Linked DNA regions of Bombyx mori. The protein of the gene in region 1 binds, or shares a complex with, the protein of each later gene. Links are inferred from orthologs where the notes say so. Each region holds a gene or a part of one and is shown in the gene's direction. Other genes may lie near its edges. The genes, in order: general transcription factor IIE subunit 2 and DNA-directed RNA polymerase II subunit Rpb4.

Region 1 (4,280 bases):
TAGGCCCTCTTCCATCTTGTTCTGACTTCCAATACTGCCTGACTGCTGTGGATCGCTACACTCGATGGCCCGAAGTTTGGCCTATGCACGGAATAACAGCAGAAGAAGTGGCGAGCACCTTTGTAGCCGGTTGGATTGCTCGATTCGGAGTACCTGCTGTCATCACTACCGACCAGGGACGACAGTTCGAGTCGGACCTTTTCAGACGCCTTACTAATTTATGTGGTACTAAACGTATACGCACTACTAGTTACCACCCTTGTGCCAATGGGCTCGTGGAGCGCATGCATAGACAATTAAAGGCCTCTCTGATGTGTTATGATGATTCGTGGTTGAATGCATTACCTTTGGTCTTATTAGGAATGCGTTCGGCTTTTAAAGAAGATCTACAAGCAACAGTAGCGGAATTGCTTTACGGAGAAACATTAACGCTTCCAGGGGAACTGTTAGTACCTCCCGGTCCTTCTGGCTTCGAGGACCCGACGGATTTTGTCGTAAAGTTAAGACAGCGTATGTCTAAATTGCGTCCCACTCCATGTTCCTCACACACTAAACCATCACCTTTCATATTTAAAAATCTTTCCACCGCCTCTCATGTAATGCTCAGGGAGGATTCGGTTAGACGTTCAATGCAACCACCTTACTCTGGTCCTCATAGAGTTATATCTAGAGCCGAGGACGGAAAAACGTGGTCGATTGATGTAAAAGGGAAACAGGTGACGGTCAGTGTCGACAGAATTAAGCCAGCTTTCGTCGAGCATTCTTTAGTAGATCTCGTTCCAGCACCAGCACCGCGGGTTTCTGTGCCTCAACCAGCGCAACCGGATGCTACTAATGTCCCTTCATGTCCACTCGTGCCTTCGGCACCTCTAACTGCTACTCCTACGCATACACCTCAATATACCACCCGATCAGGTCGCAGAGTCCACTTCTCCAAACCTTTCGACCTATGATATTTTTTTCTCTTTTTCTGCGGATTCTCCTTCTCCGTAGGGGGGTGGTGTGGCGTTTTATTATGCGTAAGCCGGAACGCACGAGATGTGGGAAAAAGAATATAGTCTGTGACAATACCTTTTTACCGCCAAAATATGAAAAACAAAAATAATTTATAATGTGATAATAACCAATTTAATGTAATTACTTTATGCCGCTACAACAATAAAATTTATATTGTTCCAACTGTGGTGTTAATTACATAAAACACAACCAGGCGAAATAAAGAAGGGACTCTATATGAACTCCCTCACGTCATTTGTCAAAGATGGTCATATGTCACATGTCAAATTGCTCAAACCGGATTTTAAAGAAACAGGATTTGGAAGTGGAAAATAGACTACATTACAACAGCAATTAAACAAAATACTAATACAATTGATACGTACTTTTAGTGATTGTGTTTAAAAGACGAAAATATGGACCCGGCGCTCTTACGGGAACGGGAAGCGTTTAAAAAGAAGGCACTTGCGACCCCGAGGTCTGTTACATTATTTTTAACTAAACTATTCGCTAGTCCACAACAATGATTGGAGACATACTGGCATCCATCGCACACTTTCTCTGTCACTCACGTAGCCCATACAATTACTATCAATTCACTTCCTTGTGGCAATATTCATTACTGAGTCATTATATAAAGTTATGAATGGAAATATGTGTTTCGAAATACTAAATGAGTAGAAATGTGAACAAATCACTTGTGCAGAGAAAAGTAGAAGATTTAAATGTTAATAAGATATAATATCTTTCCTAATTTAATAGCAGCCAATATTCTAGATAAATATGATCAAGGCACAGGCCCTATTTTTTTAAAGATTATATTGACTGGCATGCCCTAGGTAAATTAGAATACAATGGAAAATGTTTCATTTAATTTAAAGTAATGAATTTTTTCAAAGAATCTGATCAAGCTGACAGCCCACATTATGTTAAGTGATTACCTGAGCCCCTAGATATAATGTGAATGTCACCAATTGTTTTGAAACATGATTTTTATCTAAAATGCTACTTCATCTTATAATCCATTTATGAAAACGTGTTAGAAATGTTTTGCCGTGGAAAAAATTATACAGGTCTATGGTATTTGAATACCAGCATAGTCACACTTGATAAAAGTACACTTTACATGAGCTATAGTTCAACCCATCGAAAGGTTACTGTCAAATTAGAACGAAACAAAATTAATAAAGTATTATTCTTTTCTCTTCAGCATTGAAAAAAAGAAAAGGGATGACTCTGAATTCAAAGATGACAGCAAAAAGAAATCGAAATCATCCAGCTCAGTCAGCTCCGGACCAAAGCTTGATGCTAGTAAGTAAGTAAAGGCTAGGGCAACATAATTAATAATTTAAAATATTCTGTTATCAAAATAACTATTGAATTTACATAGTTACTGTGTTCCGCATAAACAAATATGTGCATCATTTACTAATGCTATTTTCATTAATAAACTAGAAATCACATTTAGTTTTATCTTTTGACTAGGTCAAATTACTATATCAGCAATATCTATTCATGACATCAGTACCATTGCTTCCCATAATTTATTATGCTTTATAGGTAATTTTAATCGCCAATTCTATTAAATAATACTAATAAACTTTTTATAGCAATATCAACTTTTGAATAAAAAAAATTAGAAAAAGCCTTTGGAAAAAAAATTATGAAAAATAAAAAACACAGGATTTATTTGGAATTCGAAAATTTATATTATGATAGCCTTGATACAGGCTATATGTAGCGAGCTTTTTATTGTTAAAAAAATAATTTATCATTTAGTGTATTTGCTAAAATCTTATAAAATATATAAAAAAGAATTGATCATATTTAGTGCTACAATGGATAAAATATTGAGATAGAGCATATAGATACCAGTTCTTTCTCTGTTTGACAACTCTCCCTTTTATTTAATTTAGTAGCTATTAAAGAGCTTTTGTGTTATCAGAAAACAGTTCTAGATTTTTTTTTATATCACTAAGTAACGAAACAAAAGGGAAAATTTAATACTAAATTGAATCTAAACCTTGAGGTGTCAATGATTATGGTCGAATTTAGATCAATAAGCAAACACTAATAATATTATTTTTTGTTATATTATAATTATTGGTTAAATCTGTGATTGATCATCATCCTTTTCAGTTACAAGACTATGACTGGCAGCTCGTCCTATCGCTTTGGTGTGCTAGCGCGTATTGTACGGCATATGAGAGCAAGGCATCAAGATGGAGATGACCATCCACTGTCTTTAGATGAGATTTTAGATGAGACAAATCAATTGGATGTCGGAAATAAAATAAAACAGGTATCTTTTAATAAGTATTGAAATAATAAATAAATTACCTCAATAATAATTACAACAACACACACATTTTCTTATAGCTGATGATAAATGCAATTTTTATTTTATTACTAAGTCTAATGTGCTCACGAACCACCTGGTGTTAAGCAGTTACTGGAGTATATAGACATGAGTTCTAAATCTCACTTTTATATTGCTTATGCTTCAGTAAAGAAATAGGCAGTGTGGTTATATCTACCCCTGCATGCTCACAAGACACCCTATTAACACTAACTGTATCTACATAATGTATAAAAATAATCATGAGTAATTACTTTAGGAAAATGATGGCATTAATTACAGTATTATTATACCCCAGCACACAAGTACCACAACACCCAAATTGATTAAAATGCTTTTTATAAATAATATTCTATTTTAATTGATTTCTCTTTTATAACCTGCTGTAAACATTTTCAAGTGGCTACAAACAGAAGCCCTACAGAGCAATCCTAAAATCGAATGCTCTCCGGATGGAAAGTTTAACTTCAAACCGGTTTATAAAATAAAAGATAAAAAATCTTTACTGAGGTACGTATAATATTTTCATTATTTACATAATTCAAATGTAGTAACTAGAAAACGATTTAAAGATCATCACCTGACAAAAATCATATAAATAAAAAGTACTTGTTCAATTTGCATTTCATTTATTGTAGGCAGCGGTTTGGCTCTGCCCCTGGCATTGCTGAAGTCCATGGGCGACGGTAACTACTCACCATCAGGTGGGCCGTATGCCCGTCTGCCCACAAAGGCAATAAAAAAAAAATTGTCTTACTCTTATACACTTTTATTTTAAGCGTGTTGTGTATGTTTGTTTATATGTAATAAATAGAATCTATGAAAGTCATTTTGCCCCCGACTTCAAAATGTCCAATCAACTTAAAAATTTACAAACTCATCAGGACCAACCTCTCTAATATCGATGACCAGTATCAACAATAAT
Region 2 (4,333 bases), on another chromosome or scaffold:
ATGCCTCAAGTATAATTAAAACAGGTTCCCCACCCTTCAAACTGAAATGCATTACTACTTCACGTCTAAAATAGGCAGGGTGGTGGTACCTACCCGTGCGGATTCACAAGAGGTCTTACCACCAGTATGTTTCAATAAATAATAATAATTTTCACCTGTCACAATTTTTTTTAGTTTGTACTCCTTTAAGAGTGATTCATATGTATTTTTAACACAAGCATGAATTCGGCCTACTGACCATGTCAAAATTACTGGCTGGTCAGTCGACTGCAATTTTGATAGTGAATCCAGTTGATTTTTTAGTATTTTTATACCTGAAATGAAACATTTAAATATGACATAGTTCAGTTTTGCATTAGAATTAGATTGATTAGAAAGTTAATGTATATTCCATTCCATTAAATTGTTTAAACTGTAACATTATTAAAAGTAGTCTCACATACTCCAATATTGTAGTTGATTGTTAGACTAACATACATCATTTTACTTACCCTCGATAATATTTTGAAAGCTATCTATAATTTCAACTAAGCCCTCAGTCAATGGCTTCAATAGGTGCGGATAATAATCATCATTATACTCGTGCAGTTTCACTGATGAGATCCCTTTACAAAACTTAGAACCTTTATCTTTTAGTTTGACCCAATCAATTAACAAACTATGAAACGAAGACACATGTGAAAATACAGTCTTTGATAAGCCTGGTTGGTCTTTATTTGGAGTTGTAATCTCTGAAATAATATCATTTATTAAATTACTTACTATTTCAATCGACATGGACAACAGAAATTTTGTTTGTTAAACTTTTTCTTCTTAATCGATGATGGGCAGACAAACTCACAGCCCACTTGATAATAAGTGATATTGATACCCAGCAACGTAACCATAATAGTTTATAAATCAAACTCTATGTAAATAATTACCTCTAGGTACAAAGTTGATAGCCAATTCTTTTATTGGAGTTTTGGACATTACGAACTTATTACTTAAATTTGAAATAAATATCTTTAGCCGAGTCTCTAAGTAGATAATAAAATTGAAGTGTTTTTGTTCTTCTTAATTTTTCAATATTGCAATTGGCTTACAGCCAGCGGTTACAAGACCTTCTAGTCCAGCTATAATATAATTTCTACGTAAAGAGCACGTAGAAATTCTAATCTGATAAATCAGAATTCATATGAAGCTAAATGAGATGAACTTAACTAATGTTAGTCTTTAAATTTGAGTGACATTATATGAAACTAGGATGTTTTATGATGCGTAAGCCGGATCGCACAAGAGGTGGGAAAAAGAAGATAGTCTGTGACACGGGACCTTTTTACCGCCGGGAGTCCGGGACTTTTTGGCGGGAACGCGAGGAGTGAAGTTGTGTGATTTGTTTTATTTTGTCGATTTAGTATTTCTTCAGGTTTAAATGTGTAATAACGGTGATTTATTAACTGTTTAATATCTGTGAAAGTTCACAAATGTGGGAAAATGCAACAAAGCCGCTGAACATAACTTCCCCGGAATCCTCCAAAAAGTCCACTGAAAAAAGGACATGGACCATACATTGCACGCCCCACTAAACGAACATCATCATCAGCTTATCTATTATTTATATTTATCGATTAAATATGTTAATATATTTTGCTAGTTTTTTGTAATACATTGTTTTCTTTAAGAAGATTTAATATGAATTATTTAAAATATAAATATATTTTACCCATGGCAGCTCCTTCAATATTATCAATGTAGCTTAATCATGCTTAAGTATTTCTTTTTATTTATGCTTTTGATTATCCCACCATTAAAATACCCTTAAATTTTATAATAAGTATGTAAAAATGAAATGTTTTTTTCTATAGATATTTTATTAATGTCCTTGAGGGCACGAGTAGCTGGGCCGAAAATGGCCCATGTCCTTTCATTAAATGACCACCATTTTACTGAGATTATATTTCATCCCATATCATCTCATCTCACTATATTTAATTTCATCTTACTTGATTATTGTCTCAAATTAATCATCTTCATTGCATTTCACTTCTTTCCATTATATAATTTTTCATAAAATTAAGAATATGAATTAAAATAAGACATGACCTAAAGGTCTTAGTTGAGCTGGACATAAAATACCCAAAAAAATTTTTTTTACCGCTGAATATTTAAAGGACGAAAAAAAAAAATGGTATAACTTAGAACTGTATAAGCCGCTGCAACAATAAAACTCCTATTGTTTCAAGTGTGGTGTTAATTACATAAAACACGATTTTCCCGCGAAATAAAGAAGGGACTTTATACGGACTCCCTCAATGGGATGAAATAAAATCGTCTCAGTAAAACAAGGATTATTAACTGAGAGTTCAGTGGACGTGACTAATGGATGCTCTGGATGAAATTTAATGAAACTAAATGGAATGAAACGTGTTAAGATGAAATAAATTAAAGATGTTCCAGTAAAATAGTGGGAATTTATTGACACTTAAGTATACTATCGAAGTAGTAGGTAGGTAGACTATCGAAGAACGTAAGATGTGCCGGGGCCACGGTAGTCAAAGTTGATCAGGTGATAATTGTGTAAGTGTGAAGGCTGGAATAGTTTCGACACAGGTAATTATTTTCATTTGAGAAGTAAGAATGGAAAATTTATCTAGTGGGTATTATTTTTCAATCATGCAACGTGGTGTTAAAATTTACATAAGCCAACTACTGTTCGCGATTTTGGAGCAATCTTTTTTCCGTGATAGTTCCCATTACAGAATCCTTTGCTAAATCGACTAATCTCCCTTTGCCTGTCCAAACTAGGGATGGTCTGTAACAGGTGAAATTAGAGACCTGTTCCACCTGTTCCTGTTCCAGCGAAAGAACAGTTCCAGTAGCCTGTTCCAATATAACAGCGTTTTGTTTTGCAACAGGTTTAATAATGTTTTAAATAGAATATGTCCACTTATAGGAACAGTTATAACATATGAAATGGTTTTAATACATTTTTTTAAATGAAAACAATCCTTCATGCTTTCTCAGGCTTAGGACTGACAACTGAATTTATTAATATTAATGATATGTGAAGCTAGTTTTGCCAAAATGTACTTAATACTTTAAATACTAACTAATATTGGCGAGGACTGCTCTCCCTCCGCGCCTCCGGTTTTTTATATACACTCTAGGGGTAGGGCAGACAAGACCAGGTGGAAAGTGATGTGCTCTGATTCGGTTTTCGATATTTTACGAATATTTTTGCAGTTTTATATCCAAAACACGAGCAATTTTACTGTTTTATATTTAAATCTTGTTTAAAAAGTTAATTTATTACAGAGACAGATTTTTTAGATGAGTGGACGAGCTCACAGCCCACCTGGTGTTAAGTGGTTACTGGAGCCCATAGACATCTACAACGTAAATGCGCCACCCATCTTGAGATATAAGTTCTAAGGTCTCAATTATAGTTACAACGGCTGCCCCACCCTTCAAACCGAAACGCATTACTGCTTCACGGCAGAAATAGGCAGGGTGGTGGTACCTACCCGTGCGGACTCACAAGAGGTCCTACCACCAGTAATTACGCAAATTATAATTTTGCGGGTTTCATTTTTATTACACGATGTTATTCCTTCACCGTGGAAATCAATCGTGAACATTTGTTGAGTACGTATTTCATTAGAAAAATTGGTACCCGCCTGCGGGATTCGAACACCGATGCATCGCTCAACACGAATGCACCGGACGTCTTATCCGTTAGGCCACGACGACTACGGGATTTTCCCGGGGATGAAATCCCGTCTTAACATTAGTACGGGTACCGCCTAAGGCGAGACTTTCGGCGCGCATCGCGGTACCGTAAGTTTCGTGTAGTCGGTGTGGTGGAGCTCGATGGGGTTTAGTCGGTAGTCGTTCTGCGGGGTAAGTGCTTCGCGCGCCTTTTTCAAGGCGTAGTCTCCTATGAGAAATTGGGGCAGGTGAAGGACCTCGGCCCTTCTCTTCTCCCCTTCTTCCTCTCAGGAGGCCAGGCCAGGAGGCGCCGGAGTCCGACATAACCCGGTCCGTTACCCCCCTCGACCGGGTAGCGTATTTCCATTTCCGTGTTCATTAGGAGGCAGTACTGCCTTGAAACACGCACGGGTTTGTCGCGCTAGCTTCCTTTACAAAATCGTGTTCAATTCAAGGCACGTGTCCTCAAATCGCGCACGGGTTTGCAACGCCAACTGCCCTTCTAAACACGTGTTCAATTCAGGGTACGCGTCCTCCAATCGCGCACGGGTTTGCAAGTATGCGCCTTGATTAAGCTCCACAAATCCGTGTTTGTTCGAAGGCACTTTTGTGTTTAATGAATAGGCAAGAAAACTCAAACAAA

Evidence for each region.
Region 2: general transcription factor IIE subunit 2 (region 1) and DNA-directed RNA polymerase II subunit Rpb4 share a complex: the UniProt entries of both Homo sapiens proteins name them as parts of the TBP-based Pol II pre-initiation complex. The link is inferred for Bombyx mori from reciprocal best matches to the Homo sapiens genes GTF2E2 and POLR2D.

The regions. Positions count from the first base shown.
Region 1 is NC_085118.1:15,266,979-15,271,258, forward strand, and holds the start of general transcription factor IIE subunit 2, read left to right. Parts: upstream 1-1,268; 5' UTR 1,269-1,412; coding exon 1,413-1,474; exon of another isoform or gene 1,475-1,478; intron 1,479-2,206; coding exon 2,207-2,311; intron 2,312-3,135; coding exon 3,136-3,298; intron 3,299-3,755; coding exon 3,756-3,865; intron 3,866-4,280. UniProt on the Homo sapiens protein: Recruits TFIIH to the initiation complex and stimulates the RNA polymerase II C-terminal domain kinase and DNA-dependent ATPase activities of TFIIH. Both TFIIH and TFIIE are required for promoter clearance by RNA polymerase.
Region 2 is NC_085114.1:9,607,435-9,611,767, forward strand, and holds the start of DNA-directed RNA polymerase II subunit Rpb4, read left to right. Parts: upstream 1-1,308; 5' UTR 1,309-1,418; exon of another isoform or gene 1,419-1,427; intron 1,428-2,225; 5' UTR 2,226-2,592; intron 2,593-4,333. Other genes in the region: uncharacterized protein LOC119628842, read right to left, coding at 156-314, 492-731, 924-972. UniProt on the Homo sapiens protein: Core component of RNA polymerase II (Pol II), a DNA-dependent RNA polymerase which synthesizes mRNA precursors and many functional non-coding RNAs using the four ribonucleoside triphosphates as substrates.